Caenorhabditis elegans: one gene and its partner. The protein of the gene in region 1 interacts with the protein of each later gene in a pairwise test. Each region holds a gene or a part of one and is shown in the gene's direction. Other genes may lie near its edges.

Region 1 (3,756 bases):
AATAAATCCATACAAATAAAACAACTAAAATTCACGTTTTTGTGGTTAATTGGAATTAAAAAAATTACAACATTTTGGGGAGAACGAAACCCATAAGTACCAAAGTTTCTACTGTTATAAACATTATTCAACATTTTTATATGTTTTAGTAGTAAAAACTTCAAATCGTTCCTTTTCAGCAGATTTGGAGCTTTGTGTTGGAGTTTTTGGTGTTTGACCTTTAGAATATTTATTACAGAGTTTTAATAAATCAAATTGTCTATTGTATGTAGTTTTTTTTTTGGTTTTACATTTACTGATTATTAGATTAAAATTAAATAATTCAATTTTGAAAATTCAGAAAAATAGTTTTGACATCCTCTACTACCTTTTTTTCTCATTTTATCTTTAAAAAATTAATTCAGGGCGATCATTCCCGCCAAATACGGACATGAATCCCATTTGGTTACCAAAAAAGTGCGGCGGCTGTCGTTGAAAATAAAAAAATCCAAAAAGTGGGAAAACGACATCTTCTGTTCACTCATGCGTACAGAATCTCCAAAAACATTTCGCCGTATTCATTTTTGGCGTGATGTACCACATATGACTTGGTCCAGATAAAGGTACTGGTGTAAATTTGTCTGTTGTGTAATCGGCATTTGACGCTAGCTTCTTGCCCAAGTTTGGCAAAAAATTTCAACTTGAATCACAACACGATAAGCTTGGTTTGGACTGTGTTTAAGTTTACGCCAAGTTTGATCCAAATAACAGTTTTTAAATAATATTTTTTTTAATTTTTGGGAAAAACGCAGGTAACGCCAAATGCCAAGTATAATTATTTTTAGACAACCGTCTAAAATTTGGAAAATATATTTTTAATACAAAAAATCTTACTCCGAGATTGATAAATGTGGAAATTTTGTAAACTACGATAAAAAATGCAAATTATTCTTAGTGTGTCAATAAAATTTTTCTATTTACTTTTCACAGTCCCAGTACTTGTTTCCTGCCAGATTTTCTCAAATAGGACTGACACCTGAAGCGGAATAATTTGCTATTTGACTTCCGAGCCCTCGAATTCTGGCGGGCGGTCCAACAAGAAGAACCCTCAATATTCCGTTAGTTATTTGTCGTCTCTGAAGACTTTATTGTCGGATGCAGCGATACCGTAGTCCGAAGAAAAGAATAGAAGAAACTGACAATGAATGGAGAAGTGGAGTAAAGCCAGCTACAAGCAGGGCAGAAAATATAAATGAATAAGTAAAGAAATCAGTTACAGAAAAGTGACATTAAATTTTTTCCACGTATCAAATTATGAAAATTATTCATAGCGAGGTTTTTTAAATGTTTAATTTGCAGTTACACTGCTTGAATCCGAATATCGATGCGGTTGCATTAATATTTATGTATAAGGAATCATCAAAAATAAAAGCAGTAGCTGATTAAAACTTATTTTTAAATCAGATATGTGGTGCATCTCCTTTTCAGAAACCAAGTAGTTTTGTTCGATCTGTTAAATTCTGTTAATCACAATGGTTCAGAATGTCTGTAAACATGCTTAGAAAACTAATGAGGTCGGTGGAGCAGAAAGTCTGTGAAAACTTCTAATTGGAATCAGGTGCTGGCAGTGAAATCACAAAATATCTTGGTCTGTACACCGGGCAAGAGCATGCCTACACCCCGCGAGTTTGGCATGGCTAATCCCTTGTTTGACAGATGTTCAGGGGGAAGGAGCTACCACTGAATAGTTTCCACGTGAGTAGAAATTGATTCATGTTCATAACATTGATGGCAATGTATTCGAGAAACAATGCCCATCTGCCACAAGTTGCAAAAGGTAGATTGTGAATAAAGCTGCGCATAATCCATAGAGAATATGAATGAAAACTCCGCCCATTTCAAAGAAGACGATTGGCCCGAGAATAGAAGCAAAAAGTCAGCGGTGTCCTAGGTGAGACAACGGAGAAAACGTGTCCGGGCGCGGCTCTTTTCAATTGTGGACCGAGAGGGAGAGACGTCGACGTCTTCTTTTTATGTCACACTATATCGTTGAAATAGTTTCGCGCTTTTTTGTTCTGTCCCCCGAAAGTTTGTTGGACAGTTAGATACTGAGGATCTCTTATTCTAACACTTCCAATATCTACACTTACACTAAATTTTACGCTACACAACACCAAAATCCGCGAGTATTCAAATAGTGACGGTCGAGTTGACAAAAGTGAACGTGGTGAGTTAAACTCTTGTTGGGTAATGAGTTAGCAGAAAATCAATAAGATGGCGAGCACTTTCAGATGGGCGTGCTAATGAGGTGGGCATGGGCTAGAAGTAAGAACTACCCTTCTTCGTCGGCATATATTTTCTCATTTCAGTCTGTTGCCTTTCTGCTGATTATCATTAGACTTTCTTGTTGAGTAGATAAATTTTGATGCCTCATTGACAATCATAAATAATAGAGAAACAATCGATATTGTCATAATGATAACAAACTAAGTAGGAATAATGTAGAACTGGTTATATTTTGAATAATTTCAAAACTCTTTGGTCTTTAGGCTAAATATAGAAACCGAGTCCTTCTCGAAACATTGATGTCGTGGGCTGCTATCATGTGTCTCCTATGACTTCAAACTTTTCTGAAATTACGTTACCTAATTTTTTTGAGCTTTCATGTTGTATCACAAAAATTTTTCATTCTGCTATAATTTTTCACAGATAATTGTTTGGTTCTAAATTCTGGGCAAAGTTTCAGAATATATTTTGAACTTTAGAACTGAATTCTTGAGCATTTCTGATTTAAAAAATCTTTTTGAACTTTTGCTACAACTTCTTTTCTCTACCATAAAATGTTTTCAATCTTGTTCGATGCTTCTACAAAAACTCCAACATCAGGAGCCATGCTTTCTCCTCCCACTTATGTTATTCATTGTGTATGTACATCCGCATGTGTCCATCATTGACTCCAAATTCCATTAGCCATCTACCGTATCTGGATTTCCGGTGTGTGACGCCGACTCCATGGCCAACACAGAATCATCGTAATTCTCCCCGCAATCTACATATCGCTACTCCAATTTTCGAATTTTGCCCCGTGTTGCAATTCCAATGCATTCAATCAAATTTAAAAGTTTTGATGATTTGTCTACTCATTTTTCCCACCCGTTCCGTTTTCTCCATGTTCAACATTTTTGTCGCCACCACCATCACTGAGAGGGGTTTTTGTAATTGGCTTGAATTGACACCCATTAACCGGCACACCCGCTGTTTGGAAGATGTCATAACGAAAACGTCGTTTGATGGAGGTCTTTGTCCGCGCCTTGTTTCCCTGTCCCTATAGTTGAAGGTGTTCGCCATCAGGCACCACTACTTTTTTGGCGCCCCTCTCTTTTTCTCTCTCGTCAGTGTCAAACGAGTAGTTGAAAATTGTGCTATTCCAAATTACATGGAGCCCCACTCCTCTGACCCGAAAGCCTTTCCATCAAATTTCGTTTTAGTAGATCTTTTTAACTTGTCATTATGCTCCTTTGGATAAACGATTTGGCTCACAGGCAAAGCATTTTCAACTGTGGGGACATTCCGGAAACACTTAGCCAATTGATAATGACAGTCCATCGATGAGTTATAAGATATGTTATCAGATGTACAAATCTGACACCCATACAACAGTCCTCACCTCGCTCTCGTCGTCATTCAGTTGCCAAAATCGTCATGCCTACTTCCAATTATGCAACTTTATCTTACGGGAAAATCTAATAACTTTTGCATTTCAGCTATGGCACACAT
Region 2 (3,756 bases), on another chromosome or scaffold:
GAGTTTACAACATAGCCAAATGGAGAAAACATATATTTGAACTTTGCAAAAAAATATTATTTATCTAACCAAAAGTAAACTACCGTATTTCTTCTATTAATATGGCTGCAATACTATTTTTCGATGGTCTTCCCGCTTGCAATACTAATAGGGAGTGCAAGACTATTAGGGAGTGCAATACTAATTTTCAGAACATTTTTCTGACTTTGAGCTTACTATTTTTTTCTGAAAAAAACTCGTATCTTATGTAAAAATTCAGAAAATTTGATTGCAATTGCAACAAAAAGGTACAATAACTTCAATTCCATAGAAATTTTACCAAAAATTTGTTGCAAAGTAGGCAAAAAATGTTGTAAAAATCTCAAAATTCAAAGGTGCAATACTAATAGGGAGTGCAAGTCTAATAGGGAGGCCATATTAATAGAAGAAATACGGTATTCTGAATTCCGCTCGTTAGTATCTTTTTATTGAAAGTTTTCAAAAGAGATTTATAATTTTCAAATAAAAATTCTAAGAATTTTACAATTCTTTCAAGTTATCAAGTTTTTGGATGTAGAACTACGTTTGCACTATATTTTCCAGAGATTCATACCGAAAAAGTTCTAAAAGTCAATTTCCGTTAGGAAACCTCACCTCAATTTCCTCCCACCCATTATTATTCAAGATGAGCACTCCCACCCGTGAGCCACCACAAAAACACATTATTTGGCAGTTTCTAATCCCCTACAAATCCCCCTTGAAAATGATTTTGATCTGATTTTGAGCTTTTCGCAGAAATAATTGGAAATGTTTGAGAAAATGGATGGAAACTGCATATTATCAGTGATATTTAGTTGTTAATTCATGCTTATTTAGTTGCCTGTTTCATAGAAAATTGGTGATAAAGTTGTCATACGGTAGGAAGTAGGACATGATTGGAAAAACTAGATTACTGTAATTCGAAGAGTCATTTTAAATTTAATTTTTTGAACTCTATAAGCTACTAATTTTGCCTAGGTTCAACAAATTTTGGGTCCCACCGCGAAGACTGGAGTTCAGTTTGAAATGTTAATTTTCATGTTTCAATGCACTTTTAAGCTATAATAAACGAGAGATTCCGTTACAAGACCCACAGTTGTAAAATTGACGTTATGTAACTTACAATTAGACGAGAAGATACATAAAAGTGGAAATACCGAATTTTTTTTTGAATTACTCGCAATAGAATTTTTATTTTTATTGCAAGAATACGCAAGAAACACCCGCAAATTGAATTATAACGGGCTTTAACTTCCTCCCTTCTTGCTTCCTCCACGTTTTCTTTGAACCTCTGCTTCACCTCAGATTTCTTTGTTTACATTTATTTGGTATCTCTTATCTCTGCATAGATAAAAGCTTGGAAATTCTTTTAATTTTTAAATACCTTCTTCTTTTTCTTATTCGAACTATTATACCTTTTCAAAAAATAGGCCTATTATGTATTTATATTCATTTTTATGTTTTTTATTGCGAAATTTCGTCTCGTTTTTTGGTTCTCAAAAGGCGGGGCTTAGCATTGAATGGGGGAGAAGGACATTCGTGGGCGGAGACTCTAAAGCAGCTGAAGCTTACCCACTGCTCCATTTTCATGCAAACTCTGCTCTTTTTTGGTAGTACTACTTCTTGAATCCTATTTTTTTAAATTCTCATCCTCTGCTTTTTCTGTGCTTCCAACAAAAACCAAATTTTCAGGTGTAAATGTCAACCGAAAACGACGTTTCAGAAGAGAATAATTCAGAGCTTGACGATGTTGAAGACGCAAAACAAGATGATCGGCGACGATCGACTACGGTAATAATGACAATGAATGTGACGACGGTGCCAGCTACAGAAAGTGAGGGAGTTCGGAGGAATGGAAGTGTTCGAAGACGACTTTCAAAACAGAATGCAACAATTGAAGAGGTGAGCAATTTCAAGGGAAGGTGGGAAATTGTCCCGCGAAGTGTCGGACTTCGAATATGGGTGCCGTTGCTGATGTAGTTCTTGTCCCGTATGGTGTATGCTGCTAAGGTACACAACTTCTTGAAGCCGGCTAAAAGTTATCACTAACCCGTAAAATGTCGGCTGCTTGGAGAATACATTATTTTATTATCATATTGATCAGCTCACTCTCTTGTGAATCATCAGAGGATGATCCGATTTTGTGTCATAGGCCGCGCTGAAAACTGAAATAGTTCCTGTTAGGAAGTCTGCTGAAATTCATATTTTTCACCCAATTTCGAAGAATGTTTGTAAGTTTATAGACAAAATCTGGTCGTTTTCGACTGAAATTTTTTAATTTTTAGCCAATATCTCTCCTGTCAATTTCTGATAGCCCATCAGAAAACTCGGATACTACGGTCCCATGCATAGAAGAGCATCCAGAAGAAGGCAAAGAAGAGGAGAAGCCAGCAGAAAGCAGTGACGTGTCAAAACTCCGCCCACCGGGTCTCGCACAGAATAAACTGTGGTCCACATCGAAATCGTTAAGCAGAGAGTCCACAGGAACCGAGTACTCGGACAGAAGTGGCATTGATCTAAGGAATTTTGTGGATCGCACGTTACACAAGAGTGAAGAAGATCGGAAGCAGCTTCTGGAGTTCGAAAAACAACTCAAAGAACTTATTTTAGATGATAGGTTCGTTTTTGTTAAAATTTCAGTCTGAAATTGATAATTTTCAGCACACAATCGAAAAGATTCGAGCTTCCATCATCCTATCACCGAATGCTTCTTCACAGGTGTGCCGCGTGGTTTGGTCTTGATCATAATGTTACGAATAAGCAGACCGATATTGTTGTGAACAAGTCAGAGAAAACCAAAATGTGAGTTGATTAATTTTCGGATGTATGTATCATGAAAATCATAATATTTTGTCTGTTTTAGTTTAGCCCCTTTATTTGGTCTTGTCAGATTTTAACTAGAAAAGTAACAAATTTCCAGTCCTGATGACAACTTCACCGACTACATCCGGCACGATAATTACGTAGAAGACCGACTGAAACGACAAAACACTTGCGGATCCCGCAAGGAACTTCACCATATGGAATCATTCGGTGATCATTCGACGAGTCAATATGGAAGTCAAGCAAGTCTTAATCATGATCTACTCATGATGCGAAGGGCACAATCATTTGACGTGGCAGCAGTCACTGGACCATCAGTTATTCAACCTCAATCTCCACATCATGTTCGAGGTCTTCCGATGCGACAACTTTCACTCAACTGCCCACAACAATCAATGGTTACTGCACCAATGAGTGGACCACAGGGACATCAATGGGCACCGCAAAGATCATTTGATTGCTCCAATAATAGTTATTTGTGCACTGGAAAACATCCAATGATGAGGGTGAGTATCAGAGTTCGCCTGAAAAATCGATTTTTCAAAAAAGAAACAGCGTCGAGTTTTACTTTCTCACGATCGCTAAGCTACAAGATTTTGAATCAATATATGATTGAGATTGAACGTGTGGCCGTCAATATCTGTGAGCTTCAGCCATGTCGATTTACGAGTATCTCTCATACATTTCATAAGTTTCCATAAGTTTCCGAGTTTCGAAAAATTTAAGATCACATGCCGTGGGCGCAAAAAACGCTTCTCAAACTCTAACCTCTAAATTTTCCAGAAAGCAGAGAGCTTCGGAGGAATGGCAAACGGAATATCACATGGCTGTTACGAGCAAAGTGTGCCAGTAGTTTGTGGAACACCTCCATCAGTGATGGTTCATCACCACCACCACCACGCTCACATCCAACAA

What was found.
Region 2: the proteins of vab-3 (region 1) and ZK121.2 interact in a two-hybrid assay, tested with the Caenorhabditis elegans proteins (2 studies listed by BioGRID).

Annotation. Positions count from the first base shown.
Region 1 is NC_003284.9:10,497,900-10,501,655, forward strand, and holds the start of vab-3 (Paired box protein 6 homolog), read left to right. Parts: upstream 1-1,990; 5' UTR 1,991-2,206; intron 2,207-2,338; exon of another isoform or gene 2,339-2,394; intron 2,395-3,188; exon of another isoform or gene 3,189-3,295; intron 3,296-3,756.
Region 2 is NC_003281.10:5,339,974-5,343,729, forward strand, and holds the start of ZK121.2 (R3H domain-containing protein), read left to right. Parts: upstream 1-1,708; 5' UTR 1,709-1,716; coding exon 1,717-1,920; intron 1,921-2,303; coding exon 2,304-2,635; intron 2,636-2,679; coding exon 2,680-2,820; intron 2,821-2,938; coding exon 2,939-3,347; intron 3,348-3,624; coding exon 3,625-3,756.